Drosophila melanogaster: one gene and its partners. The protein of the gene in region 3 interacts with the protein of the main gene of each other region in a pairwise test. Each region holds a gene or a part of one and is shown on either strand. Other genes may lie near its edges. The genes, in order: HLH4C, CkIIalpha-i3, CG9784 and mrj.

Evidence for each region.
Region 1: the proteins of CG9784 (region 3) and HLH4C interact in a two-hybrid assay, tested with the Drosophila melanogaster proteins (one large-scale study listed by BioGRID).
Region 2: the proteins of CG9784 (region 3) and CkIIalpha-i3 interact in a two-hybrid assay, tested with the Drosophila melanogaster proteins (one large-scale study listed by BioGRID).
Region 4: the proteins of CG9784 (region 3) and mrj interact in a two-hybrid assay, tested with the Drosophila melanogaster proteins (one large-scale study listed by BioGRID).

What each region holds. Positions count from the first base shown.
Region 1 is NC_004354.4:4,643,602-4,651,130, reverse strand, and holds HLH4C (helix loop helix protein 4C), read left to right. Parts: upstream 1-3,716; 5' UTR 3,717-3,824; intron 3,825-4,688; 5' UTR 4,689-4,763; coding exon 4,764-5,267; coding exon of another isoform or gene 5,268-5,339; 3' UTR 5,340-6,004; downstream 6,005-7,529. Other genes in the region: Cbp80 (cap binding protein 80), read right to left, coding at 1-699, 759-801; torsin, read left to right, coding at 1,366-1,558, 1,617-2,446; mRpL30 (mitochondrial ribosomal protein L30), read right to left, coding at 2,542-2,956, 3,037-3,164; CG3062 (uncharacterized protein), read left to right, coding at 6,347-6,373.
Region 2 is NT_037436.4:706,465-713,478, reverse strand, and holds CkIIalpha-i3 (CKII-alpha subunit interactor-3), read left to right. Parts: upstream 1-3,117; 5' UTR 3,118-3,121; coding exon 3,122-3,169; exon of another isoform or gene 3,170-3,195; coding exon of another isoform or gene 3,196-3,231; coding exon 3,232-3,741; intron 3,742-3,865; coding exon 3,866-3,922; intron 3,923-3,984; coding exon 3,985-4,146; intron 4,147-4,195; coding exon 4,196-4,267; intron 4,268-4,324; coding exon 4,325-4,399; intron 4,400-4,455; coding exon 4,456-4,488; intron 4,489-4,550; coding exon 4,551-4,769; 3' UTR 4,770-4,878; downstream 4,879-7,014. Other genes in the region: CG13896 (uncharacterized protein), read left to right, coding at 1,722-1,734, 1,792-2,537; CG13895 (uncharacterized protein), read left to right, coding at 5,578-5,589, 5,780-5,800, 5,857-7,014.
Region 3 is NC_004354.4:16,593,597-16,602,363, forward strand, and holds CG9784 (uncharacterized protein), read right to left. Parts: upstream 4,901-8,767; 5' UTR 4,647-4,900; coding exon 3,120-4,646; coding exon of another isoform or gene 3,087-3,119; 3' UTR 1,540-3,086; downstream 1-1,539. Other genes in the region: Ubc7 (ubiquitin conjugating enzyme 7), read left to right, coding at 405-447, 510-591, 675-934, 1,095-1,213; Nup153 (nucleoporin 153kD), read left to right, coding at 6,559-6,717, 6,784-7,299, 7,358-7,602, 7,780-8,767.
Region 4 is NT_033778.4:16,217,793-16,225,548, forward strand, and holds the start of mrj (mrj), read right to left. Parts: upstream 4,002-7,756; 5' UTR 3,878-4,001; exon of another isoform or gene 3,844-3,877; intron 3,358-3,843; 5' UTR 3,331-3,357; intron 2,332-3,330; exon of another isoform or gene 2,260-2,331; intron 1,918-2,259; exon of another isoform or gene 1,846-1,917; intron 1,654-1,845; exon of another isoform or gene 1,582-1,653; intron 1-1,581. Other genes in the region: CG7798 (uncharacterized protein), read right to left, coding at 4,389-4,835; CG15706 (uncharacterized protein), read right to left, coding at 5,505-6,917, 6,978-7,123, 7,315-7,375.

The DNA of each region.
Region 1 (7,529 bases), about 12 Mb from region 3:
CCCAATTGTCCTGCCGCAACTTGCGTATCTGCGCCCACAGGCAGTCCAAGTACTCCTCCTGTGGATGCGGAGCGTCTGAGGACCACACCCTCAGCGCATTATGGTGCTTCTTTGAGCGTTTGTTTAGATAGACCTCGATCCTAAGCAACAGGGACTCCAGGGCAGACTCCTTCTTCTCGTAGAGATCGCGACCCACCCAGGGTAGCGTGGAGAGCACAGCAAAGACGAACCAATCGCGACGCACCTGGGGCACTGTATCCTCGTTGGAGACATCGATCATGGTGTCCAGCAGCTGGAGGAGACTGGTGGCCGAAATGACGTGGCAATTGACCAGGTCGGCCAGAAAGCGCAGCGAGTAGCGGGCGGCATCCCAGCGGCACATCTTGAGGGACTCCTTGAAGGTCTTCACCATGTGATCCACGAACTCGCCGCCAAACTTGTAGTTCTTGGCATTGAGCAGGCCCACCAACGTGGTGTAAACGGTACACTTCTCTGGCATTCGCACGGCGCAGTCGGACAGGATGCGCAGGATCTTCAGGCGAAACGTGCCCAGATCGGCCTCCAGAACGGAGACGAGTCCCTCTAGGTTCGATTCCACGGAGGAGGTGCTACGCTCGCCCACCCGCAGTATCAGCGACTCCAGACGATCCTCGATCTCCTGGTTTTCGGACACACGTCTACGCTTGTTGCGCCGATGATCTGCAATTAAATGCCCCCATAAATGCTTTGCGTTCATGATTACATCGATGCCCACTTACCATAGCCCTCATCCTCCGTGTCGTGAGCCCTCCTGCGACTCATCTTCCCGTGAATTTTCTGTGAATTTTGCGGAAAACACCGATTACCGATTGGTCCTTGGCCACCGGCAGACAGAAAAGCACGCTGATGGGTACACCTCTTGGACCTGGACTTTTTCGGGGATCCTGGACAGGATACGCTTGACGGATGGGCCTTGTTGGTGCGTCTAGTATTTCACTGCGAGCGTCAATTAGCTTGCCAACTTTCAAAACAGCTTTGTCACAATTTTCACAAAAAACGCGATGCGATGCTATTTTTTTTTTTTGCCAAAGAACTAAAGATGTGCCGCCATCGATGGCAGGGTTTATCGATAACAGCGGCGGCGTAAGCGGCGGACTGAAAATGGGGCCTGAATAAACGTTTTCTTTGGCGCCATATGCGCAGAATTGCGGCATACTCAATTAACCAAAACATACCACTGACTGACTTACAATAAAAATCTGTTGAATGCCACTGCTACACAACTATCGATAGAAACGGTTGCCGGCAAGTGCTGCAATCTAGTCTTATGCTGCCTATCGCTTTTGCCCATCTATACATTCCACCGCGGAATTTTCCTTGCATTTTATGATGAGCTTTCCACGCATGTTATCACTGTGCCTTAGCGTGCTTGTAATACTGCCGCTTCCCCTCCAGTCGGTGGATCCCCTGACCATTGGTGCCGTTGGCGCCGTGGCCCTTGGGGCGTACTTCAAAGAACATACATATTGCCGGTTTGCCGAATGCTGCGATGACCGAAACATTCCGGCGAGAATAGATGGTGAGTGAGTAGTTTTGTATGCAACAAAATGACTAACCAGTACAGTGGGTAATTACAGAATTAGAAAGATCCCTGGAACGCACCCTCATTGGCCAGCACATCGTGAGGCAGCATATCGTCCCCGCACTGAAGGCGCACATCGCTTCGGGCAATAAGTCACGGAAACCGCTGGTCATCAGCTTTCACGGCCAGCCCGGTACGGGCAAGAATTTTGTGGCTGAGCAAATTGCAGATGCTATGTATTTGAAGGGCTCCAGGTCGAACTATGTAACCAAGTATCTCGGACAAGCTGACTTTCCCAAGGAAAGTGAGGTGTCTAACTATAGGGTGAAAATCAATAATGCGGTGCGCGATACCTTGCGTAGCTGCCCGAGATCTTTGTTCATCTTCGACGAGGTGGATAAAATGCCCAGCGGAGTATTCGACCAGCTCACCTCGCTGGTGGACTACAACGCCTTTGTCGATGGCACGGATAACACAAAGGCAATCTTCATCTTTCTCTCGAACACGGCGGGCAGTCATATAGCCAGTCATCTGGGTAGTGTGATGAAGAATGGTAGGCTGCGCGAGGACACACGACTGAGTGACTTTGAGCCCCTTTTGCGGAAGGCCGCCTATAACATGGATGGCGGTATGAAAAAGACCACCATGATTGAGTCTCATGTTATCGATCATTTCATTCCGTTCCTGCCGATGGAGAAGGCGCATGTGATCAAGTGCCTGGAGGCGGAGCTTTTAAGGTGGCGGCGCGATCCTAAGCAAGCGAACAACCAAAAAATCATTGAGGACATAATAAACTCCTCCATTAGTTACGATCGCACGCACAGCTTGTTCGCCATTTCGGGCTGCAAGACGCTGGAGAAGAAGGTGGCCATGGCCATTTACTGAGAAAGGACCGACCGACTCCACATTTTAATGCTTAGTTTGGGTTTCGGTTTGTATTTAAAAAACTATTTTTTCGGAATAAAGAAAACAAATTTTAACTACCAGGGATTTAGCCACTTGAGGCGGGCATCTTTGCGCAGCAGATCGGTATCCAGTCGCTTGGGCTGCTCGTCGTAATCCTGGCGAGCCGCCAGGCGGGTATCGATGGGTCCCAGGTCCTTGGTTACCAGGCACTCGCCGTTCTCCTTGAGTATCGTATGCCGGACATCCTGGGCAGTGGGCTCTCCGTAGGGGAACGTGACCGGCGTAACCTTAATTAGATGCTTGATCTTCCACAGGCGGGCATTGTTCTCCGGTATGTTCTTGACGACAGTAAAATCGCTCTGCTTTCCGTCTAGTCCCAGATCTTTGAGGATTCGATTCTCCCAGTAGGGATTGCCCTTTAGCGGCTTGATGCGCTGCACCCGGAAAAGTTTCGCCGGCTCCACGGGTGGATCCTGGTGATCGGGAGTCCTGAGCGGGATAGATTTAGCATTAACAAATGCTGGATTTCGTGTGTTTTCCTTTTATACACTGCACACGTGAATACGAACCTGGGATAGTAGGTGATACCCTCAAATTTCTGGCCATTTTTGTAGAGGAACTTCTTGTTGTGCTTTCCGTAGCTGCGCACCGAACATGCGGTGCTCCTCAGTGGATTCAGCAGCCTTCCCAGGTTCATCTTAATTGTTTTCCCCCCTTTGTAATAAAATTAAATGCAAAACGCTTATGAAATAATTGATGTTTCCCCGACGATAACGATTACACAGACATCTGGTTAACTAGTTGCCTATCGATGGGCAGCATGGATACTGCCGTTATGTAAACCAATGTTAACCGCTTGCTGTTAAGCGATACAATTCAAATGCAAAGGCGGCAAAGTTAAAAGTGATAATTTATCATGTACAAACTGAAGATAATTTATCATTTACAAACTGAAGATAGCGAAAACATTATCAATAAGATGGTAATATATATTCGTTGTTTTTTTTTTTAATATTTCAAGAATTAGTTGAGAAAAGAAAGTTTTTAGGTCATCGGATTACACAGCCTCCAGGGGATGATGTCCATTTCTGGAAAGGGGCGGTCTCATATCAAAATCTCCGCCATTTTGTCAGCTACAATTGGCGCTAATCGACGAGGGTGGATAACTTGGCATTGGCTGGCTTTCAACGCAATGGGGTTGTTTCCGATTTTGGTTATAAAGGAGGCTGCAGCTTCCCGACCGGAAGTCAGTTCCACGTGAGCATCCATCCGGCGAGCAACCGACTCTAGTGGCAAGCAAGGATATCTGCCAGACAACTCAAGGATCTAGAATAACTCTGCACCTGTGATAACTGCTGTAAGTTCAGGCAACAAAGCCCAAAAATTGTGAGCAATGCAAATGAAGTGAATGTACTAGCGAGTAGAATAATCAAATTAAAGATACAAATAGCTGAATGAAGTCTCTAGTTCGTTTAAAATTATATCTAGAAATTTGTTAATTAGCTAACTTGACCATGTGCACGCACTCGACATGTGTAAGTGTACTGGAGTTTCATAGTCTTGAGGGGACTTGAGTTACACGACAAGTTCTTAAAACTAGATCGGATTTCCATCATCCCATGGGATCAATAGACACGTCTTCGACTTGATGCAATTCCAGTGACACTTTTTGGACCCAAAACCCATTAAATCAATAGATATAAAATCATACGTTAACCGCAACAATACAAAAAAGGGTGGCCAAGCCTAAGGGGTTGGCATCGCTGAGGTTTGCCAACTCCCGCGGGCAAATAAACGTGCCGATTGTTCAGCTATTTGTGTAGGTGTGAAAATATGCTGCGAATAAACAATACACGCACAATGCCGACAATAAGCACAATAAGTACAATAAAAATAAATGAAAATAATAGCAAACGCAAACAGAATGCAGCGAAAAAGGGGTGTGTCCTTCATCGGCAAGGACGACACACACACACACGGACACCCTTCATCACAAATGTCCACAAATGAAGCATAAATAATTCGAGTGCAAGGATTATGATTTCTTCAACGCCTATTGTAACCTTTTTTTTTTCAATAGCATGAGCGCTCCACCGCAAAGGTAGCCACACTTTTCGTCTTCCTTGAGTTTGAAATGCAGATCTGTGAAGCAATCAAGTACACATTTCGTTGTATTCATAGTCTAAGCTGTGCATCCTCTTGCTTCCATTTCCATTTCCAGCATTCAGCAGCAGGCTGGGCAGCGCAAGAAAGTCCAGTGTCCAGCACCGAAATCAGTGGTGCAAATAGCCAGAGAATGGTCTACGATATGAGCCATATGGCGGCGGGTCCGCCGCAAAGCATTTCGCTTAGTCGCTACTATCTGGTCGACGATGATGAGATGATTGGGCCAAATAATCCGCATCTGGTCAACGAGGACTATGCGGCCAGTACGACGCTGGATATCGATAAGCGTTTTCAGGCGCGAATGGCGTGCGAAACGGCCGCACAACCGGCACCGCCACCGCCGCCCACGCCGGCGCCACGTCGCCGGACCACGCCCATTGCCCATTTGGATCCATCGGAATTGGTGGGTCTATCGCGGGAGGAGCGGCGTCGTCGCAGGCGAGCGACACTCAAATACCGAACGGCACATGCGACGCGGGAGCGTATACGGGTGGAGGCATTCAATGTTTCCTTTGCCGAGCTGCGCAAGCTGTTGCCCACATTGCCGCCGGACAAGAAGCTTTCCAAGATCGAGATCCTCAAGCTGGCCATCTGCTACATTGCCTATTTGAATCATGTGCTGGAGACGCCCTGAGATAGCGCCGGCGCCTCCAGTTTCGCCACCAGCTGCCTCTTTAACGAGGCCAATTTTTTCGCCCCCCCGTAGGAGGTGGGGGGGCGTGGCGGGCGGATTTAGGGGGAAAACATTGCGAATATTCCACATCCGATAAACGCATTTCACCATGCTCTGTAATCCGCACATCGCTCCATTGGATACTTTGCCGGTGGCGGCTATGGATAATGCGATTATCGAATTAGCCATCTCACCAACTTAACCGAAGTGTTCGATGGATTTTGCCGATTTGCTAACCTATTTAACCTATGGTTAAATACATACATTTTTTTGTTTTTTGTTTTTTTTTTTCCTTGCCACTGTTGAAAGACAAATGCCCGTCGTTTCGTTTCGATTCGTTTTTTTTTTTAGGCTTAGGTTTGTTTTCGTAGAAACAATTGTAAAGCCACGATTTAACCTAAGGTTAAAATATGCCCGTACTAAATGTAGAAGATATAAGCTATTAGTTTGTGTAATTTAATTGAAAAGTAGAAATATCGAAGGAAATAACAAAACTAAATATGCCAGTAGTACATACAATTAAATTTATGGGAAAGCAGTGCTTAATCCTCGGAGTAAACCTTGATCATGGTTTATATAATATAAATAACCAAGAAAAAAAAAACAGAACCTTAAACTAAGATCCATTTTTTGTCTAGCCTTTAAGTCGTGATATTTGTTTATACTCAAACGATTAATATATACAGCATTGTAATCGCAATAAAAAATTGTCTACTTTATGTATTTTGGCGCGCCTTTGCACGACACTCCCCTCGACTTTTGGACACCAGCTGCTCTGACTGAGTTTTCCATTTGTCTGAACGCTTTGCTCGGAAAAGCCAGATGCTAACAGTTCCCCCTTTTTCACCAACCTTCAAGAACCACGTATCCACGTATCAAAAGCGGGCGTGTCCTTTGCGCCAAGCCCCGCCCATTTGTGTAAAAGCGAAGTAGAGCAGCCTCTGTCATAATTTTCAAAAATTGAGGATACATTTTTATTTTTTTGTTTTAGAAACTGTGAAAGCGTCACGGAAATTTCGACTTTTGTGCAAAATTTCGAAATGGCCCTTCATTTTAGTGCACAGCAGGTAAGACAAATTTATTCTAGTCGATTGGGAGGCTGTTTTCAATATCCATAAATAGTGGCCTAATTTGGTTGGTACGGGTAACGGGTATATATATATATACATATATATATATTTGTGTGGATCCATGGATGTAAACATTTTCGCAATAATAATAACAACAAACGTGGCAATGGCAACCAACTCGATTCGGCGCCATCCTTTTCTATCCAGTGAAAAACGACTCCTGCATTCCGACAATCGGCTGTTTGTCCCTGTATGGGTGCTATTTTCATGGGTGTGGGTGTACTGGCGTTCATAAACAAAAACAAAGGCCAGGCGACAAGGAAGTTTTGTTGTGTGCATATTTTAGTTTTTACCAGTTATATATTTTATTCTTTATTTATATTTTTATATATTTTAAATTAACTCATTTTGAATGGCATGTGTTTCCTTTGCTCGAATTTTAAACTTTTGTTTATTTATTTTTGAAAATATATGTCGGGTGTTTTCTTGTTTTTGAGTGTCGTACGCATAACGTTACCGCTACCGCTCCGTTACCGTTTCCGCTCCCATAACCGTTTGAGCTCGCTTTTTCATTTCCTCCCCGCCCACCGCCCACCGCCCACCGCCCACCGCCGCCTTTGCACATTTGCAAATAGCGACAGTTAAAGTTTATTTACTTGGTAACGGTTACTTTGGACCAGAACCTTTGCCACGCAACTCGTTTTTGGGAGTCCACAGCTATTCGCCATATACACACACAATCGCAACGGAATCGGTTAACTGCGGTGGTGACGGAATTTCGAAAAGAATCTATTCGAATCGCACTCGAGAATCAATCGAAACGCCTGGCGTTAATGGTTTACCAATTGGCCAGGGCGACAGCTGTTCGGCCAGCGGAAATTGAAATTGGAAAAATTGAATGGAGCATTGAAAGAAGCAGAAGCAGGAGGCGGAGCACAATCCACAGGATACAGGAGCTTTGGACCAAAGGATAGTCGGCGGCAGAGCGTGAAATTAGCTTAAGTGCTTGTCGCCTCGACCAGGACACACCAGTGGATACAAGTGCGACATTAGATACGATACAAGAGTACCCGAAAGTAGAGAAGTACCTTCATTCTGGCGAACTTCTAGCCCAACCCCAGTGCCTCGGCCTAAACCAGCGATTCAACCGTGC
Region 2 (7,014 bases), on a different chromosome or scaffold from region 3:
AATCCCAAGGAAATCGCAGATCTCGAGCAGTCTGTCAAAGTCCCCGCATCAAGTTGTTGGCTGCTCCGATTTATGTCTGCTCGATGGAGGCAAAGTCGTGACCCGCGCGAGCATTGAACTCCCAGTGAACCGATCTGGTCTACTGTGGACCTCGGATAATTTGGATTTGGCTTAGGACTTACACAGAGAAAAATGAGTATCCTGAAAGAAGCTGCATATTTTATAGCCATGTCGTAGATTTTAGTTATATTCCGATTATTTTCAGTGCTTGGGTGAGATGTAAGCCATAAAAGAACAACTCACCAGTCAGTTGTTTAACGATCTCACCTTGGCTTCCACGGTGCGACTTGGGGATTTGTGGCCCAAAGGCAGCGCCACACATTTAAGCGAAATGAATTTGAAATCCGCCTGCACGAAGTGCAATTTTCAACCAGTCGGCCCGAAAGCCTTATTACTGTGGGAGCTGTTCAAAATAATGAAGCCATTGCCATGGGCAGACCGTCAAAATATATAGGGTCCAAAGCGGCCCCGAACCATTGTCAATCATATTCGAGAGTCTATTTTCCCACATTGCATGCCCCACTGATCGCGTTTTGGTCCAACTCTTCATGGGAAAATCAGTGAGCTGGCTTCGCCTAGTTGCGCAACAATTATTTGGCTCTGGTTTCAGGCCTTTATTTGTAAGGGTCGTCTGTAGGGACGGTCCACACACCTTAAACGAGGTTGCGCTCCGCTGAACCCCCTACCAAAACATTGTTAAAAGTCACATGCCGGGGTTGTAACTACTGACTGCTTTACGAACTACCGAGTTAGCCCTTCACGGTTATTATCTAGGCCAAAACGGAAGTGCGCTTCTCGAGATATTCTAACCAAGTTTTTCACACATCCACCTCGGTGCGCAGGTGTTTCTAGAAAAAAAGTGCCAATTGTGCATATGTAAATTCCCTTTTTATTTGTGGCGGAAATTAAATTTAGGAGACGCTCGATTGGGTTGATACGGAAAATTGGGCATAGATAGTCCACGATAGGACTTAGCCTTTTTGACTAACTTTTTTCTTACCTAAAACTTACAGATTAGTTTATAAAAGATTATAATAGAAATCACTGATAATCTTATATAATTTGCTTAACAAATTTATTACTACAAAAATCAATATTGGTTTATTAAACTTTTTTTTACTGTGTATACTCGAGTATACGGTACCCGGTTATTTTACATTTATACTACTGCGCCCCTATCGACGAACTGTTTGGGCGACATCTAGCGTCTGTAAATGAAAGTCGCATTGCCGGTAGATGGCAGCACAGTAATAGTTATGTGCTTATTTGTAATGTATGTAGGTCCATTTCAATATTAACTTTCTATAATTAAGTTGCGGGAGGTCTCAACCTGCGGCAAGTACTCACTAAATCCTTACTGCGAGATTTTTAAATTCAAAAACTACATAATGGCAATTAAATGAGGCTAAGATGAGTATTTATATAAAATAAATGTTCTCTTCGGTAGCGAGTATTGATATAGATTAGGCAAAAAATCCATTTTCAAAAAACGAAAGCCTATTCCCATCTTTGTTTCGTGCAACCTTTTCGATAGTTATCGATAGAGAAAAATCGAAACACATATGTTTGGATCATGATACCTTTCTCTTACGCCGTCCGAAAGAACTGGCAGCCTGGGAAACAAAACTTATTCGTCATCAACTGAATAGCTATTGTAAACAATGGATACAAAGTGTGAGTAAAAAACATAAATTCAAGAAGAAAACTATATATATACTCACAATAAGCCAGCTTACGAAAGGAAGTGGTGTACATCCAACACCCGACTTTTATTGTCCCTTTACAATGAACGCCAAGCTGATTTTCGGGATCCGAAAAAAAAGATCAAGGACATTTGGGGGGAAATGGTCGTTGCCCTTGAAAGCCAGGGAATGACAGATATCGATGCAGTTCAGCTGGATCGAAAATTTAGGAACCTGAAGAAGACCTACTATAGCATAAGGAGCAAGCTCCTGGCGAAGGTACCGCATTTCCATCCAAACTGGCAGTTCTACGACGAGATGTCCGAAATTCTAAAGGATGACCCTGTCCCACCGCCGCAGGAACTTTCCATCAATGATTTCGATGAAGCGGTGGTCAGTTTGGAGACCGGTATCCAGAAAGGCAGGATGCTGTCTATGGGCACCACTGTCAGCACAGTTATTCCCCGCCAAATGCGTACGTATCGCAAACGAAAGCAGCCATTGGATGATGTCGATATCAAGATCCAGAAGGACTACGAAGTGCAAACGGATCGGCAGCGGGATGGGGAACAGTTTACAGTCTTTAATGCCGCCGAACCCAATACTAATGATTTGTCAGAGTCTGCGGCCGAGATCTCCATCAGCAACGACGAAGAGGCATTGAGACACCTAAGAGCGCTCCAGGAGTACGCCATGATCCATGATAATTTCAGGGCCATAGGACTGCTAATACAGGTGGAGCACGCCATTCAATATCCAGCCCAGATCAAGGACTTCGAGGTGGATCAAACGTAGTGTCCTTATAAACAAGCACGTAATCTACTGGAAAAGCAAAGATAAGATAAGGCACATACCTAATTTATACCTCTATATTTAAGATTTTAATATTTTATAATATATATACTTTAATTTACTTTATTTAAATATGGTTCATGCACTTGCTAACACCACTGAAAAATGAATCTGGTTCTAAACAAATCTGGCTTGGGTATTGGCTAAAATATTGCGCTGTGGCAATACCGTTTTCTAAAACCTATAGTTACAACAATCTAAAGGAATTTCACAAGAAAAACCAACATTTCTGAAATCTTATTAGTATTTTGAAGAGTAACAAAGTGAATCCTGCCGAGATCAACGCCGATCTGTAAGCAAGTTCGTCTTGGAAATTGACAAAAACCGAAAAATCTGGCAGCACCAATATGACACTAAAGGTTCAAGAAAAGACCTTCGGTTGCACAAAATAGAAAATTCAAACATAATTGAAAAGAATTAACTAGTATCGTGAAAACATGTAATACAGTTAATAAAAAGTTATAGTATTATGCAATATTGATCAAATGAAGCAAACTTTATCGATAACTTCGAAATTGCAACCCTAAATGCATCGGATGGGCAATACCAATCTGAAGTCTACAAAAAAGCATATTGTGGAAGTCTAAGTTTTGTTAAATTTATGGAAAAGGAATCCAATTTATCGGACAACTTGCAGTCCCGGTTATTTGCACTGGGTCCTGCCCCGCCAGGATTTCGTCCACCGGATGCTACCGCCTTTGCCACAGCGGAGTCAAATCTTCGTAATGCCATCCGCTACCTTAATGATACCTATGGCGAGCTCGATCAGCTGCGCACTGTCATCCAGAAGGAGAAGAATAACTCGAAGCGTACGTCCTACAAGGCGCAGTCCATGATGCTTGCCATGCAAGTGATACGTTTCAAAGGACTTATTGGGAAGTACAGGGACATTCTGATTGGCCTGCAGGATGCCGAAATCATCAAGGTCAAACAATACATAGAGCAAATGGTGGAGATGAGGAACAAAATCCAGGCAAAGACCGATCCCACACAGCGCGAGTTCCAAGTGGGCAGCTCAATCTCACTGGTGCAGGAACAGCGCAAGACCAAGAGAATCTGCCGCAGGTGGCGGGATCGCCTGGTCCAGCTGACGGAGGCCAAGATGGACAAAACTGAGCAACTTACTGAGAAACCAAAGCTGATCAATGTAAGAACCGTTACAAAAGAACTTATACATATTTTCATTGCGCTTCCAATATCCATCCATGTTTTCATGAAAACTCTCATCGAATTCTGATCGAATTTCGACTGAACTCGATATGCTTTTTTAGAAACCTAGAAATATGTTAAATGCAAAAACCAACAAGTGGAAGGAAGCTGTAAGCTTGGTGAGTATAGCCAAACATATAAAGGATAAGTTAAATGCTAGTAAATATAAAACTAATCCTAGCAACAAAGCGGTCTAATTAAAAGTGGCTGTAAGAGGTGTGAATACCTAAGAAAGCTGACTAAGAATCGTCCATCCAAACTTTGTAAGGTGTGTAAAAAATGGTCTGATGATGAAAAAGCAAAAGCGGCAGGAAATAAGAAAGCCAACAAAACGCCAATAATGGTATGACACTATTGAAAAGTCGCAACATAAATTAATACTATTATTGCAGGCGAAGTCGAAAAAATTAGAAGTACGCGTGCGTACGGATTCTGAAGAAGCTATAATTAAAATAGAGATAGAGGTGGGTGTGTACAAGTAGATCAACAGTAACATTAGCACTTATTATTAATTTTCTTAGCATGGTGAATTTACCGATGAAGAGGAAATTGGGTCATTGGAAAAGGAAACGACCTTAAAAGATGAGATCAAGGAGGTTAGTTGTTTCTTCAACCTGAAAAATGTGTTTAATTTTGGAATGTTTTTTTTTAGACTGTTGAATCTCACGACACGGCAGCAGTTGAGGTAAGTAAACAGGTCCTTGGACTGTAATAGAACTAACGTAACGATAAATGACTCAATGACAGGAGGAAAATGAGACCAGTCAAGACGATGTGGACCCCAAAGTAGTCGCTTCCTTACAAAATTCACTGAAATCCATCGACTGTAAAAATATGGCCTTGGCCTACGTGAAGGTCTTACAGGAGTACGCCATGTTAAATGATAACTATCGGGCCATTGGACTACTTACTGAAGTTGAAAAATCAGTTTTAAATCCGCCTCAGAACGAGGATTTCGATCTATGATCTTATTGACGCCACAAAAATAAAGTTTAGTTTTTATATGTAATCTACAATTAAAATGTTCGTGTGTCCTGCCTTTGAGAGTCAAGACCCAAAATGTGTAAATAATTGTAATATGCGAAAAGAGTTTATAGAGTGGAATAACCAACAGGGTCCCACTTAAATGTGGTAAACGTTAAATTAAGCACTAGATATAATTTGAGCAAAAATAGCTTTATATATATGTATGTGTACATATCAAACCAGTTTCAGCTCAGATTAGGTGGTAATGCGATTTGTGTTTTTCGGCATGTTAAACCAGTTATAGCTGCTTTAGCGAGAGAATATTTACTCTCGATCCGAAAATAAATCCCATACCGCGAACGAATACCACCACGATCGGAATCGGAACGTGGGAAGTCGGTTTAGATCGCGAGAGAAAGAGCGGAATGTCTCTCGCAAAGATACGGTTTTTGCCGCTCCGCCAAACGGAGGAGAGTCCAGATCTCTGCAATGTTCGGACCGCATGCTCAGTCATTGAGTTGCACTCGCTCTGGCAACTTTAAACACGTGCGACCGCACATATTTTCTGTTTAATGTGCCTAAAAAACTGCTGTATATTTTCAACAAAGTGTACTTTATGCTCTAAGCTTTCCGACTGAGGTATGTAAACAAGATTTCTAGCTCTTCTCTGTATAATAACTATTTCGTTTTAATTTCATTGTTAAAGGAACAGAATTATATTGGTCACGTGAGGAGGGGGGGCCAGACTGGGAGTGCGAGCACGCTAAGAGAGAGTGGAGAACCTGAAAGTGTGAGAGCGGGAGTGGAAATGTACTCTGACGTAAGTATACTTTCGTAGTGAGTAAGTGAGAGTGCAATGCTTCGTTTTAGTAAAATCTTTTGAAATTTGTTATCTCTGAGCTAAAATATGCGAGACCCATTTGCGAATAAGAAGAGGGCATGTTTTGTAAATATACATACATAAATATGTATAAGGCATTCATGATATACACGCATACAGATAATTTGAGTTCTGTATCAATAACATACATGTAACTAAGCCTAGAAATCGGATTTTATAAAGAAATAAACCATGATTCAATTTCAGAATGATGACACCCACAAAAACTCGAATGGATCGCATCGCATACGGAACGTGCTGACTTTGGAGGAGCGTGTGGCTGCCATCCGACAGTACGACATTGTGCCCATGTACAGTAAGATTGCGAGGAACTTTAATTGCAGCTGGGAGCAAATCAAGAGCATAGTCTCCAATCGGGAAGCCATCCTGGAGTTCCACAAGGCCACCAATCGGCTCAGCCAGCCGGCCAATAAGGATGCCGAGCTGCGCCGGCGCAAGCTGAACTTTCTGGGCCACTGCCTGTACGAGTACATCCAGAGGGCCCAGTTTTACCTCCACAGCGATGTGAACGAGGAGATGATCCGCAACCGTGCGATCGAGTTCCGGGATCTCATGCAACTCGATGGTTTTGTGCCGAACAAACCGTGGATCAATCACTTCAAGGCCGCCTATAATATAACACTGTCGAATCGTCAGATCACGATAGTCCGCCGACCACCACGATCTATGGACTTGAGGGACATTATGTCGTACTGTGGACGACACACCTCGATGTCTTGTAGCTTAGCGCCTAGATCGCCGGAACCTGCGCTCACTAGCAGTGATCGACCTCTTTATCGTACAAAGACATTGGTCACCACCTCTAGCCAAAATCAAGCCACCTCGGATGAAGTGCACCTGCGTAGAAAGCGAAAGTTAGCGTTCCTGGAGAAATGCGTTTATGAGTACATCCAGCGATCACAGTTGGTTCGCCAGGGTCGTCTTGACCTAGACAATTTGCGCTTTGTGGCCATTAGTTTAAGGGACATCCTCAAAATCGACTCCTTCTTTCCCGACAAAGTGTGGTTGAAGCACTTTAAGAGTCGCTATAACTTTAATTTCACGGTGGGAGTTCAGGTGACGAACCGCCGCTTGCCGCTTTCCCTGGACCTAAGAGATATAGTTAGTTATTGCGGCCGGAATGAACATAAGATCACGCTGGACCACAAGAAGTCGCAGGAAGAACTGAGCCAGAGCGACAAGCCAGAGGTGGACCAATGCCCACAGGTGGAACCAAAACCCGAAGAATTTGAGCACGAAGAAGACGATGATTGCGTGGCCATTGAAGTGCCACCTGAGCTCATAGAAATAAAGGATGATGAGGATAATGACGATGAGCATAATGATAATGAGGATTTGCCAGAA
Region 3 (8,767 bases):
TAAGAAGCAAACAAATAATTAATTTAATAAGGTAGTTTGAAGGTGTGAAATACTAAAACAACGATAGCCGACGTTATCGAATCGAATCGATTACTCTTGTTAAATTCACTCAGTACAGATATATTTTTATAGAAAGCCACTCGATTCATTCGATATAAATAAACACGGAACACCGTTTGTGTTTATTATATTACGACGTGTCTGTATTTTGACCCGTGCCCGAGGATCTGGAAAGTTCGCGATTGCCGCCAAAACAAGCAAGGACCCCATTCGGGTGTAGCAGGTGCAGGAGCAGGTGGACAGGAAACGGAGAAGCAGCTGAAGGAAACTCAAAGGAAGTGGTCACAGTGGGGAGAAGGAGCCCGTGAACTGAACCATCATCATTACCATCGAGCGCATTTAGGATGGCTGGGTCCGCACTGCGCCGCCTGATGGCGGAATACAAACGTGAGTCGAAAGTCCACAGGGCAGCAACAGCTTTCCCTTACCACCGCTCCGATCATCTCCAGAGTTAACACTTGACCCGCCCGAGGGCATTGTGGCCGGCCCCATCAGCGAGGACAACTTCTTCGAGTGGGAGGCACTGATTGCGTGAGTTAAGATCCCCGAACGATCGACACGGATCGGACAGATGTGGACAGATTAACCCATTAATTGCACTTTGCCCTTTGCAGCGGACCTGAGGGCACTTGTTTCGAGGGCGGAGTGTTTCCTGCCCGGCTCATCTTTCCGACCGACTATCCTCTGAGTCCGCCTAAAATGAAATTCACTTGTGACATGTTCCATCCCAACATATTCGCCGACGGGCGGGTCTGCATATCAATACTACACGCACCCGGCGACGATCCCATGGGCTACGAGCTATCCGCGGAGCGCTGGAGTCCTGTCCAGAGCGTGGAGAAGATTTTGCTTAGTGTGGTCAGCATGCTGGCGGGTAAGAAAAAAGTCACAATAAAGTCTTAAGGGCAATTCCAACGGGGGTATCTACTTCCAAGTTCATTTGTTCACTAGATTATATGGTTGATCATGCCGATAGTTCACTTCACTTGTTCATTCCTTAAGTTCAAACTGATGTCGTTCATTTTTGCCCACAGAACCCAACGATGAGAGCGGCGCTAATGTGGATGCAGCAATTATGTGGCGCGAACAGAGGGATGAGTTCAACGCCATCGCCCGACGGCTGGTGCGCAAAACTCTTGGTTTACCGGCGTAAATGGATCATGTGCGTCACCGTCAATACTTTCTACCCTGAACAACACGATTCCAACAACTCGCTAACCCATAGTTTTCTCAAAAATCCCTCGTTGAGCTAACCGACACAAGTTTCAAATTAGCAAAAATGAAGAACCTAACGTCAAAATCGACTAACTCAAGTTTATCTAGCACACTGACTGCCTCACCGGACTTAACTGGAGGGCCTATTACCTGAAGTACATCACTGGTAGTTGGACACGAGGCCAGGTGAAGGCGGAGTGAGAAGTTGGCAAGAAAAGTGAAAATTCTAATAATTTCTATTATTAAAGGTTTATTTTTTTTTATATATTTTCACTAGATATAATTTGTATTGATGCTTTATAAAGATGCTGTTTTGAAAAGTTAAATAGAAATTACGATAATTCAAGTGCAAGGGCAATGTATTCGAAGTGATTGAGGCGTTTGATTTGCATTATGCTTTATGTTTGGTTTATATAGTCATTACACACTTAATTCGACTGATCATTAACTGAAATCCAACATGAAATTGTCCTATGTACTCATAAAATACTACACAATTGTAAACGTTTTCATTCGATTAAGTAAATTGATTAATGTTCACTTTGATAAGGCATACGACTGTATGTATGTATATATATATATATATTTATATGTTTATAGGTAGGTGGGTAAATGCACACCCATACACATACATTGGTTAAGTGTCCACTGGTATGAGGGTAATATAGTTATCTAATAGTTGCTGAAGGTTACTAAGCCACACGAATTTCAATTGACCGGGCCCGCATAAATTAATGCTCTCTGTCTTCTTGGTTTTCGGACCATAGATGGGCTCGAAAATGTTTACACCATTCGATCGTTCGAGTACGGTGGGCACCACAGACTTTTACGGCCCACTGTACGTTCCACCAGTTAGTCAGTCAGTCATCAAAACATTGCCAATTAGTGGGAGTGGGCAAGGGCTGCGCCAGTTCGGATTTCCATTGACCCACTGTACGGTGGGTGGGGGAAGTCAATGCAGATTGCTTGAATTTTCTGCTTGGTGGTCTACTTGGGTTGCAGCTATCGTTAAGGTGCAGTTCTTATCTAAACTATCCTTATATAAATTTTATAGATTATATACCAATCAGATAATGGAAAAAACATCGCATGCCGCTTTATAAAAGTCTACGTTTCCGGAGAAAAACCTTTTCTTTTTGTTTAAAACATTAAAAATCTTTCGTAAGTTGAGCTGGTTGGTTTAGAATCATGGTTAAAAAGTTCACTTTTCTCTTTTTTGTTATTCAAAAAATTAAATACAATTTGCCTACATTAAATAGTAGTTAAATGAAGATAAAATTATATTCATACTTTGCTACTCTATTCAATATAATACCTTTTCTCTATATATTTCACTTGAGAGGCATTCAAAAATATCACTTTTCAGACTCCGGTTTCTGCCCATTTTGGCTTAGAGCTCTCACCTGGCTCTCATCAATAAGTTTTTGCCTGTTACTGGCAACAGGGTGTGTCATAGTGTAGATGTGTGACAGTGAATGTGGCGTAATTAACCTTTTGACAAACCGGTTAAATACAAATATCTAGTGCCATGACACCGTACAAATAAAAATAACAAAATGACAGCAGAGCAAATAGAACATATGTATGCAAACGAAAAAGCGGGATTCATTCAGGGCGGGAATAGGTGGAATTGGTAGTAAACACAAATATTATTGGTTCGATAATTATGTATAATTACATATGTATGTATTAACGTATTTTGGAGGGGGGGAGAGGAGAGGAGGCGCTGAGTCAACAGCTAACAAGCAAACTTAACACGGTCACATGAGGTCAATAAAATTAGATCAACACGGCGGTTATGGAAACAGAGACTAAAGAATAAAGATATCCAGAGCCTCGGCTAGCTAGTCAACATGGTACTCCGTCCGATGGGGCGAGCCGTGCCGCTTCTCCGCCACAAAGACACCACTGACGCCGGCCAAACTGGTCACGCCCCGGACTCCGGTGCTGCGGAAATATATCAACAGGTATTGCTCGCCGTGACGCAGTTCCACATCGTCGGCGAAATCTAGCCGCACCAACTCTTGGGCATTAGCCTCCTGATGGCGACGCTGTCGCTGGCGATTCCTGTGATGATGCCGACCCCTTCGATGATGCGAGGGCGTCTCAAACGGATCCGGTTGGTGATTGGAGTCCGAGGATGAGGGCGACTCAGCCTGATTGACATACTCGTAGGCTACGTAATCCGCCAAACTGGCGTACTCCGACGGAAAGATGCCAATCCAGTCGTTGGACCCCTCGTCGAACTCTGCCTGCTTGTGATACTCCACCGTGTTCTCGTCCCCAATCTTCCAGAGCGACAGAGGCGAGAACACCACGCCGGGCGCCCGTACATTCGGGTAGAGCTTGATGGTAAAGTCACTGGTCACCGGCTTGTGATCACTGATGGTGTACAGGGGATGGGACTTATACGAGCATTGCTCAATGGATAGCTGCATGCCGGGCTGCCGGTTCAGTGGCTGCACGGCGTACATTATCCGATCCGTCCAGGCTGGCCGCCGCTTCAGGTCGTACTCGGAGGTGCCCTCGCGGAACTTGAAGGTGGGCGGAAAGGCGGGCAGTCGCTCCTGCAGAACCTGAAAGGCCAGCTGCGACTTCTCGCGAACTTGATACAATTGATCCCGCTGGATAAGGGCCTCGTGCTGGGACTCATCGCGTACCAACTCGCGCACTTCCGTCGAGGAATCGCTGCCCTGCAGTCGGAAGTTCAGATCGCCAAACCAGAAGACATAGTCGTGATCGTAGATCTCCCTATACCGCTTGACGTGGTAGTGATGGTTCTCCAGTATCTGCTTGTAGTCCTCGATGCGCTCGTCCATCATATGGTCATGGGCAGTCAGATGGGCCACCACAAAGGCCAGTCCGCAGCCGTAAAGGGTGAACCTGACACTGACGGCGCCCTTGTTGCCCCAAATGCCACCGAAACCGGTCCTCGTGAACTCCGCCTCGATGTCCTGCAAGTGCTCAACGTGCTGCCGCCTCACGAACATGCTGAGCAGCAGCCCCTGCATCTGCTCGGTCTTTACGGCCACATAGTCGTAGTTGCGTAGCAGTTCCTTAGCCTTGTGCGTCCACGGATCCTCCTTGAACAGTCCCAACACCTGTTGCTGCGGCTGGGCATTGACCTCCTGGAGCCCCAACGCATAGATGTCCGGCAAGTGGGCATTAGTCTCCTTCGTGTCCTTATCCACCGTCACATCCTGCAGTCCCAGCAGATGGCGGAGGGATATGTTATCCGGAAATCGACTGCCCACATTCCAGGTGACCACATATACCCGGTAAGTTTCCAGCTGTTGCTTCCCTTTGCCCTTCGATCCGTCCGGCTCCGAGTCCGGAATCTTGGGTGTCTTGCTAGCCTCCGTTTGGCTCATTGTTGCTGGACTTGACAAATCGAAGAGATTAACCCAACTGGCTGCTCACAGCAATCAAGTTGTTTACCCAACCGATTAAGGTTTTATTGTGTAAGTCGATTCTTTATGCCTTTGTGGATTTTGTTGCTCCAATCTGGGTTGCTGGTTAAGTTGGGTGGTGAACAGCGGCGAGGGCGGTCGGTAATTGCTGAAAATATTGCAGCACAAATAGTTTTTAACACTTGTTTGCCCAGCAGCAGCAACAACAACAACTGTGCTACAACAACACGACGAACACAATAACAACAACTAGGGATGGCAAAACTGAGAAGATGACGATATCGACTAGCGGTATTTATTTTCCAGCCCTAAAAATGTAAATTTCTTAGACGTTAAGAGGTAACATATTTGATTCATCTAGTAGTAAATTCAAGTTGTTTTAAAATGGCTTGCTAAAATTGAACCAAAACAATATGGTTTCCCCTATAACCCATTTTTTAAGATTTATTTAACATTTATACTGTATAATTTCTTTGTCATATTTGCACCTTAATAAGGGCTTTTATATTTGGCGCTCATATTATGTTCGTTTATTATATTTGCTTTATTTCTAATGCAGAATCTGTGGTCACTCTAGCACTCGCTGAATTTTAACTCGCTGGAAATTCTTTTTAGGACAACTATCGATTAACATTAGTACAGTATTTAAACTTTTGCATTATCACACAGCCAAGTAAAAACCTAAACAAATACCTCACTCCAACTTAAAGATACAAACGAGAATTCCTTTTAGTCAATGCAAATGCTTAGTATTCAAATGACAACACAAGCAAATGGTTACATATGTTATAAGTCGCACTTGAAGCGGTTCTTGAGTAATAAGCCCGTATGGCAGTTCATCACCAATTAAAAATATTTAATAATTACAGACTTCCAAACCGTAAACGTGCATGTAACCGATAGCTGCAGGCAACGTATCGATTAGCACACGCTGCCCGACACGCCGATAGTATCTGACAAACATCGATTTTGGTTCCAGCTCTACTTTGTGGCCACACACGCGTTTTTTCCCCAATCAAATCGTGCTCTTTTGAAATTCTGTTTCTTGCAAATCGGTGGTGCGTGTTCTCGTGCAACAATGGAAAACCTGAATGCGACCAGCGGCAAATGTTAAATTGCAATTAAAAGTGTGGATTTCGCGGCGGTAAAACGCCAAAATTCGTACCGAATCGCTGCGCGCGTGTGTGTGTGAGCAGAGCGTGAAGAAGAGGAACGAAGAATTGCGAAAGCAGTGTGTGCGGAAGAAGTGGAAGAAGCACAAAGACAAAAGGAAGGTGAAAATATATCAAATATATATCAAATCTATCCGGCAAAAGTAAAACAAATATTGAAGAAAACGGGCGGCATGCTGGAAAGCGGTAAGGGCAAAGCCAAAAGCAAGAACCTCGAGCGCTTCGCCCGAATTCGGTATTCAATCCTTTTTCCCGCCTCTAATTTTGCAGTGCTTGTGCCCAGAATTTGCTCTTCATTGGTGGCCAAGAAGTCAAATCCTGATCAAACGCGACCAGTTTGTGGCGCCAAACAGAATATTATTTAAAAATATCGCGGCGTGTGTAAAACCTCGGCGAAACGCGAACAAAAAAAACCACGACGGCGTGCGTAAGCGCACTCACACCTTTGCACACGCACAGACAGAGAGAGAAGGCAGGATAGAGAGTGAGAACGAAGCGAGTGAGCGAACATTATCCGCACCTACACATACAAACTAGCTCGCAGGAATTGCAACAGTGTGTGCTTTTTTTTTGGTTTTTTTTTTTACTTACGTTTTTTGTTGTGTGTGCGGCAACGCTTCTTTTTCGCGTTTTTTTTGCATCTCTCTTTTGTGCCGTTGCTTCGCCGGCTAAAAAGGTGAGTCTGAATCTAAAGCGGCATAATGGAGGATGCACAGGAGCAAAGGGAATCCTCGCAAGCCGAATTGGCCAAAAAGCATCCGCTGACGCCGCTCAAGGAGCTGCCTGAAGAAAGCGAGGAGGAGGAGGAGGAAGAGGATGAATCCTCGGCGGGAGCCCTACGGGAGTCTGACAGCAACAACGTAAGTACAGTCGACGATAACTTGGTTCCCATCAAATATCCAACTTCCGTGCAATTGCAATTGCAGTCCATCATGGGGAAGATGAAGATGCGCGTGTCCAGCATTCTGCCCGCCTCCTTGAGCGGTTGGTTTTCGCCGTCGTCCAAAGATGGGAACGATGCCTTATCCTCCCCAGCTAATCTCCGCCAGTCACAGCCACGCCAGTCCAATGGACGCCTCACTACCAAGCGGAAACGAGGACGCCGTCGGATAATGCTAGCCGAAGTGGATGCCGATGCAGCCGATGATCTTGATGACGGCTCCGATGCCAAAGGCCTCAACTATGAGGAGGTGGCCCTGGCCGACAACATAGCCGAACACGACCTGGCCGCCGAGGATGAACAGACGCGGCGGAGCGAGTACAATGTGTTCCTGCTGCGCAAGCGAGCCGGGGCTGTTGCAGCTGCCGGCGGTGACGAGGATGAGGCCGAGGAGGATGAACTGGAAGAGGACGACGAGGATGGCGATGAGGAGGATGACGATGAAGAGCAGGAGAATCTCCAACAGTCCGCCGCCGTGCAGACCAAGCGTCGACGCCTGGAGGTAAGATCACATCTTCAATCCTGTCTACATTTCCCAACTAATCTTGAATCCCTTTCAGCTGGAGACCCCCGTCAATTTGCCGAACATGCGTCGTCTGCCCCTTTTGTCATCCACGCCTGCTGCTCCGCTCGCGGCTGCCACCAGCTCCTCCAGCTCCCAGATGTACAAGGGCGTCAGCCACATTGCGCCACATCGGCGCAATCACCTCAATTTGTATGGTAGTCAACGGCAGCGCGAACCCGCGTACAACTTTTTCACGGGCAACGAAGCTGCCGAGGGAAGCACCGGGGATCTGCCACACAGGTATGTTACTGCAGTCATGCTTACTAAAAGTGTTAATATGGAATTCAAAAAGATAACTACCTTAGAGCTCGTTTCAAACAAACTCAAATTTGGGCGTTGCATAGCCAGGCTATTGCCAAGACGAAAAAGAAGAAAACCTTAGTGAAAATTATAAGGCAATCATTTAAATCATTTTAGCATCCGCCGTTCACTGAACATACCTTTCGGAGGCAGCAGCACCGCTACCAGCTACAACAACAGCCTATCCAGCCTTCCTAACCACAAGCGACCATCGCTCATAGGCAAGCAAACCCATCGACGCGATCTTACCATGGATGAGACGGGGACTGGCCCGGCCATGAGTTCGGAAGAACATCTCAATCATTTGCTGAGAATAAGCAGGACCAACAACAATACTAGCAACAATAATAATAATAATAATAACAACAACAATGTCATTGAGACAAAAACAAGACGAAGTGAACTGTCTGCGGCCGCAGGAGGTTGCGGTGATTCGCAGTCCGAGAGCGATATGAACGAATACCACGACAATGGTGAAGGGCACGACGGACTTCGTCCGTCGCATTACAACAGCAACAGCAATTTAGAATTTTACGGAAATCTGCAGAGCTCCAAGTCAATATTTAACAGAAGCAACACCGCCGCACAGCAATCGCATCGGAATTCTACGTGGTCGCTGAATTCCCTTACCCAACGACGTCGCTTCAATGCGTCCATATACGGCAGTACGTCGGCACTGAGCGACAGTCGTCTGCTTAGTGGCAGTGCCTCTAACTCAGGCTCTGCATCTGCCTCTAGCTCGCCCTTTTACCAGGGACGCACCACCTTCGGGGGCAATTCCGGCAACAATCGCCTCTTCAGTCGCAGCAATCTTAGCTCATCCGCCGCATCCTCAATGTTGGGACTCAATTCTGCCGGCAGCTCACCGGCGCATCAGCTGCATGCTTCCATGACTGGTGGTATTGGATACGGTATGAAAGCGGTAGATATGCGACCTTCAGACTCCGGCAGTCTTGCGGAGACATCTGTGGGCCAAGGTGGCAGTAAGAAACCCGGTACCGGGCTGTCGAACACCACGATGCGCATTCTCAACCTACTTGAAAGCTACTCCACGCCATTGATCGATGCCAAGCGAATGGGGAGCAGCATCAAGGAGCATCAAAGC
Region 4 (7,756 bases), on a different chromosome or scaffold from region 3:
TCGAGAGCATTGACCATCTCCCCAAAAGAGCATTGCCTGTTTTTAGCTTTTTCTTCTCCTACTGTCAACTGTCAAACGAAATTTACACGTTTTTCTTTCCAGCTGCAACTCACGAAATAGTCGAGACTTGAACAAAGAAATGGGGAGTGCGTGAGGCTCCTTTAGCTGATTGATTGTTTGGCAAAGTTTGCATGTTAATTGCCTTTATGGTGGCGATAGACGACAAAGCACACTTAAAAGTCTAAAACCCCATTACTGAGTTCATTGGAGTTTTCTTTTTTATCAGTCGTGTCGCCTTCTCATTTTCTACCAATTAACATTACTAGGTTGTGACTCTCACCCTAGCGAAGACAATGGAACTAAAGCAAATATAGTGTAAGCGATTAAAAACAAAGTGAATAAGATATTAATACAATCATTATACTGAACTTCTTTCGTTAGGCCACATATTGTCATTAAAAATTCTTTTTTCATAGTGTTAAGCAATCAAGTCCTCTGGAAGCGGAACGGAAACGGTCGAGGCTGACCCAACAATTCAATTAAGTTGACTCCTCCTGCACATCTGAACGATCGAGCCCGAGTGGAGACAACTTGGTTCCTACCTGCTAGTCCGGCTGGCTGATGCGGATTGAAAACAAAACAAACAGAGCTTAGACAACTCACAACAATGCGGTCGTTGGACGCGCAGGCGCGCAGCAGGGGCCGCTTAATATGCAGCCAGCGTAGCTGGTAAGTCGGAGATGTATACCCATATACCCATACCATATAGCCAGCAGCAGCTGGCGTCTTTCGTTCTTGCTGTCGCTCAACTGATCAACTGGTTTAACAATAAAAACAAAGCTCAGGCGGCGTTGGCGTTGCTTGAACGTTCAACAGAAACGAAAAAGTTACCGTCTTTTTTGTTGCTTCTCTCATGCGCTGCCATCGATTGTCGGGGCTTGGCTTTCTTTGAGGGAAAAAATATACAAACTCACTTAGAAACTATAAAAAATGGCAATTTGTACGCTTTGCCTTTTTCTCCGCTTCTTGCTCAATCGTATGTCTCACACGCGCTTCTAATGTCTGGATACGATACATAAGCTCGTTCAAGATGATGGCATATAAAAAGCTACACGAGTTTTTCAATTGACTTGGAAAGTGGCAAGCGACTGCCAGCATGCATCAAATGGATCGAGCCCCAGCGAAAAGTGGGCGTGATGGGCAACAACAATGGCTCACTGTTTTTTGGCTCTCGGCTTTGCCACACTTTTGATGAATTAGCCGTTTTTTTTCCATCGAGTGTCGGGGCTTGGAAAATTGAGTTGCAGCTGCAGCTTATGATGGAAGTGGTTGGCAGGGAGCGAGGAAGTTCGTTGAGCCGGATCATACCCAGCTGAGACTCATTAAAACACCACTTGAACCACGATTCGTGTTACACCGCCTCTAAGTGCAGGTCAATAAGTGGAGTTGTTGTCTGATTTTCAAGTCCAAGCCAGTTTATGCCTTTGTGCGATGCTATGGGAGAGAAATGGCTGGAAGAGCTTGATTGATGGGGATTCTCAAGCAGGGTAATTGATTTACTTATAAATAAAATAAAAATACTTCCCATACCGGGAATCGAACCCGGGCCTTCTGGGTGAAAGCCAGATATCCTAGCCACTAGACCATATGGGATATGTTCTACTTTCTTCCAAGTTATATAAACGTTTTTGTAGTTTTTCCTTGTTAAAAATGGTGCACGTACTTTATAAGGAATTTTATGCCTTGTTCATTTTTAAATTTATAAATAGAAAATATACAGTGGTGACTTTAAAACATGTCCTAAGAGGCAGACTAAGGACACACTTTAGTCACCTTCCAGACAAGTCCCATATTGTCTAGTGGTTAGGATATCCGGCTCTCACCCGGAAGGCCCGGGTTCGATTCCCGGTATGGGAAACTTTTTTGCCTAATTTCGCTTTTTTTTTATTTGTTACCATCAGAGGGTTAATAATTTTGGGCTTTGTTAAAGGGGTTGACTGACCATTATACAGAGGTGGTCAAAAGTATTTCCACAACGAGCTTTTTTTTTCAATTAGTTGACAATGGTTATTAGTTGACAATTGAAAAAAAAAGCTCGTTGTTCAAATACTTTTGACCACCTCTGTATATGTTTTCATTCCATATCTTAATTTTCTTGTATTAATAGTTTTTCCTGGGTTAAGCAAAATAAACAAATAAACACAAGGCATTCATTCATGTTGGCGAACAAAACGAGTCTTTGCTACAACACAGATAGCCTCCCATATGGTCTAGTGGCTAGGATATCTGGCTTTCACCCAGAAGGCCCGGGTTCGATTCCCGGTATGGGAAGAGTACTTTTTTTTTACTGCTTAAAATAATTGATAATTGATTTTCCACATATATTGAGCAGTCTTCAAGTCTATTGCTTTCGGTAATTGTATGTATTTATGTTTGTTTTTGCTTTTCTAGTGTGCTTTATTTCTTTGCAATTGCCTAGCGCCACCAATTGATGCCAATCGGACACGCTACGAAATAATTCGAGACTTTTTTATGGCCGTTGCTTTTCGTTGCCCCAAGTTGTCAATTGTTGATGTTTGTGCTTATGTAGAAAGAAATAAGAGAAAAGAAAAAGGAGGGAAAACGGTTTTGTTAACGACGGGCAAAAGCTCAAAGAGCCAGAGTACTTAACTTTTGTTAAACCGAAAATTAGGCATGCCCAGAATTGCAACATGTACTGGAAGCAACAGCAACAACGACAATAGCCTGCCGCAAAACGTGTGGCAAGCGAATAGCAGCAACAATAAAACGGGCACAATGCCTTGACTGAGTTTTGAACGTTTTTTTTAGTTTCTTTTTTTTGTAGTAGATACGGAAAATTGCTTTTTCATTGTTGCAGTAACCAATTTTTGGCTGTTATTGTTGTTATTTACAAGCTGACTTGGCAAACGGAAAATCAATTTTTAATTGCAACAAATTTGAGAGAGCTGCGGGACAGGCAAATTGCGAGTTGGCCAAAAAAGGCAAATTAAAGTAAGCGTTAACGAAAAACAATTGGCATTTTGAGTCAGAAACGGGTTTAACGGTATCGCAGAGGCAGCTGCAGTATCTTTTGAGGAAACACGCCGCCACATGTCAAAGGGGGACAGCAACAATATGTCAAAATCTCGATGAGCAGAGCAATGAACCGTTGTAATTAGCATACGTCCGCGTGCGTGCGTGTAACAGAGAGCACAATAGAGGCACTTTCGATTATTGAACTTGTTAAATTCCGCATTTCTCTGTTTGCGCTCGGTGCTTAGATTGTTTATTATTTGGTATTACGCTTATTCTTTTGCTTTGGTTGCTTACCTGGAAATGATCTCTTTCCTTTGGTGCCTAACCGAAAAACAAGCGAACAATTAATTTCATTAGAAGTATCTAACAAATGCGAATCCAACATGAGATATAGTAAAACAAGAAATAAGTGTGAGCAAATAAGATAAGCAACGCCGCGTGGGGAAAGAGAGAGAGAGAGAGCTGTTGGTGAGAGCGAGAACGACGCGAGTTGTTGGCGGAAACTCCTGTCGCAGCAAGCAGCAGCAACAACAACTACAGAACGGCGACAATTACGGCGCTTTATTGATTTTTTACAAAACAACTATTCGAACACGAAGCGTGCCGTTTGCATTTGAAACTCGGTTTTCAGCTTATATCGAGATTATTTAATGCACAACAAAACGGAGCACAAAAGAATTTCGCACACCAGCACAAGTTTTAAGCACTCACACACACACACATACGAAGCGACTTCAATGTCAACTTCACTTTTTGTATTTTTATCTACTGCTTCGCTATTTTTGGTTTTCTTTAGCAGTATTTAGTACTTTGAATTTAGTATTTAACTGCACTTTATTACCCGTCAGTCTGCACGCATCCGTGCGCTCGTTGGTCGAGAAACAAATTATTCAACCGCCACTTTGCTTTTGGCCAAGCGCGCTTTTCCCACAGCTGTTTTACTTAAGCGATAAAACGCAGCGACAACTATCAGTCGCCTGGCTATCGATTTGACCCAGGGAGGGGAGCAACTAGCTCTGCCAATCGAACTGGTTCCGAGCCGAAATTCAAAAATGTCATCGGTAAGATAACGTGTTTAGCTACATCCCTTTGGACATGTTTTCTACATGTTGACTTACATTTTACATTATATTTAATTTTATTAGCTTGGCGGTTAGTTTTGAATATAAATTGAAGGTAAAAAGGTATAGACCAGTTTTTTCTATTCTTGTTTACCAGATGATATATCGCACCACAATTGTTCGCTCTTTTAATGCTCATACTCATAAAATATATTGCTCTTTAATATTATAATATTTTATTCTGCATTTAGGTTCTTAAGTTTCGTATTTTTTTTAGCTTTTTACCGATGCTCAACCCGAATTTCTGTGTCGCCGCCGGAAGCAGTGATTCACATTGGGCTTGACACCCTGACATCGATTGTTCCAAGCCACCCAGGCGGAGAATCCTTGCTGTTTCCTGATGTACTTCGCACAGGCAATGGAATACCGGATATCGTCGCTCAACAGCAGGCGGCAGGGCAAGCGACACAGATCGTTGGATGGACGACCATCCGCCGGCTTGCACCAGTAACGATCGTTGATCTGGAAGAGACCCCAGTCCACGGATCCATCAACGTTCGAGGGATTGATGGCTTTTGTGTTGAACGAGCTCTCGCCCTCCACGAGGCACAGCCAATCGGGTAGCTCGTTGTAAGCCATTCCGTATCGATACAGCTGCCGGGCCAAACTGCATCTGCCCACCTGGCGGCCAGTGGCCAGTGATAGCGTTAAGAGCACCAGCAGCCAAATGGGCCACATCTTCCAGAAACAATGCAGGCTTCTAATGGTAACTCGTGGCTTATATAGCCATCCAGTTTGCTGCGAGATTCGGAGCACAACTTGGCCCAATCTAATTTTTACAAGCACTCATTTGGACAGCTCTGAAGTGTGGCCCACACTCGAGCATAAATTATCAACACTAGGCGACAAAGATTGGAAGTCATAACCATCTCCAATTCTTTTATTTTGTTGGAGCTATTTCGGAAAGGCTATTGCTCTGAGAAATCAGTAGATATATGGTTATTTTAGGGTGTAGAACTAAAACTACAATTCTCTAACTTAACTTAAATCCCAAACATGCAGATGAGTGTCAGACTTTCAATTCTCGATCATTGAAACAGGCCGATCGGGCCAGTTTCGTTAATATATGGAGTGGGAATCGCTCGCCATTTAAGCGAGGCATCTGCCTGGCCCCAGATTCACTTTCAATGGGTTCTTTTGTGCGATGCTCAGGTATTATATAACCATGTTGACAGCTGGAGGGGCCGGAGCACTTGAGATCGCGTGTGCGCCAACAATCGAACAAAAACCCCGAGAGAGCAAAGTCATTCAACTTTTGGACAACTTGTCGTTCTTTCTTTGTTTTTGTTTAACGTAAAAAATTAGTACAAAAATATGCAATAAAAATGGCATGTGTTGATACTATGTTTATCCCAAACGAATCTCCTCCATTTCCTGAGCGGGCGGCTGCTTGATCTCCTGTTCCGTTGGCGGCACATATCCCTGTCTCGGCAGGAATTGCCTCTTCCTGGATGTGGGACGTATAACGATGTGTGCTACGCATGTGCAAATGGCGGCTATGGCAAAGTATTTGAAGCTCTCTCGTCCGCCCAGGCTTTTGAACATAAGTCCGCCGATTAGGGATCCGATGGAGAAGCCAAGTCCATCGTCCATGCCGGCCATCAATCCTTGAACGGTGGCCGATGTTCCCGGAGGAGCCACCGCCGAGGCGTAGGCCACAATGCACGTATAGCACAGAGCATAGGTAATGCCCTGGAAAAAGAGCTCCACGCCCACCAGATACCAGGGATTGGGAATCCAGGCGATCAGCGACAGTCGCACAGCGTAGAAGAAAAAGCACATGCTCATGCAATGAACATAGCCCAGTTTTTTGATAATCTTTCCGCTGTAGAAGAAAAAGGGCACCTCGCCGGCCAGACACTCGGCGGCCACCACTAGACCTTCGATCAACTTGATCTGATGCATGTAACCAGTGGCCTCGGCCACCTGCTCCAAGTGCCAGAACATAAAGTATATGATGAAGGAGTCAATGATGCCAGCCATTGTGGCGAAGAACAGAAAGACCAGAATGGGTGGCTTGCGCACCAATTGCCAAACATCGCTCCAGATGGACTCGGAACCACCCAGTTTCGGCAGCTTCAGCTTGGACACACTGAACAGATCGAGCAAACTGAACACGCACATGATGATCAAGGCAGGCGTCAGACTTTTGACCGCATCCGTGGTCCACCAGTTCACTACGATTCCGGCTAGCATGGCAGTGGCTCCAAAACCAATGGTGCCCCACACTCGTTGTGCTCCGTACTTTTCCTGCTCCTCATCGCCCAGAAGGTCAAAGCAACAGGCATCGGATATGGAGTTTGTCACGTTGAAGCCAACGATTCCAATGCAGAGCAGGCATACGAACAGCCAGAACTTGCCAGCACCATAGATGCAGCTATTTACGTGTCGCACCTCGCAGGATGCACTGTTCCAATCGATGGCTGCTGGTTGCGTGAGACAGATGTGATAACTCTCGTTGCCATGAAGCAGATTCTGGTTGAGATTGAGGCCCGACTCGTTGGCAACAATTAGAGCGGAGAATTCGCCTACTTCCTTTTCTTCCTGAATGCATTTTGCCTGATGAGTGGTTTGACAAAATGCGTTGGAGGATTGGATAATGGTATTGCAATCGTTTGGATTCGTCAATAACGTTACATTCCATTGGGCACTTCCCTCGTCCAATGGAATGAAATGTGAGTTGTCGGGCAGGAAATAGAAGCCGGCGAAGGCCAGTGTCATGATGAGGATAAGGGAGATGAAGATGAACTTGCGCAGGCTCTGCAACAAAGATTATAGTTTAGTATTTATATTAATAGTTACTAGGCATATCAAGCTCACCGTGAAATAATCGGCTAGGAAACCCACCAAGGGTTTGGCTAAAACATAAAGTAGGGGCAAGGCGGCCGTAATATAGCCCATAACATCCGGTGGAACACCGATCTGCTTGCCGATCACCGACAATTGTGGCAATATGGGTCCCATGGCTAAAAGTTGACAATGTGCACATGAGTTTATAAACTACAATAATTTCCAAGAAATCTTTCTATAATTGCAGCAGATTCTCACATCATATATTCGATAATGTCAGCGATAAGAACATTTTGATACGAAAGAATCTCACGAAGTGCGAAATCGGCTTTAATTTTGGATTGTTAAGTTATAACTTTACACTCACCCGCCATGAAAAAGAAGAAATGTGCCTTGATGGGCAGCAGGCGCCTGTTTAATCGCACCATTGTGCAGTCTGTAAAATTATGGCTAGTGTATCACAGTTCGGATATATCCATGCAATCCTCTGGTTATGCCGGGTGAGATGTGGTTCCTACCCAGATAAGATCATAATTTTTCGCACGTCTTCGACTTCGCCGTTCGACGTTCTTAGGGAATCTGTCGTCTGGTGGATAGAGTGTTTAAATAGTCACAGCGATATGGATGTAAATCAGAGAATGCTAAACTATATCTAATCACATCGCGATAAGATGCTAGTCCAGACTATATAGCAGTCTGTAATCGTCTGCATAAAAGTTCTATTGAGATAGCCAAAGGGAGGGAGCATAACACTCCGGAACAACGAATCTTATCTTTTCGCACCAAAGTCGTTAGATTTTGTTGGAAAA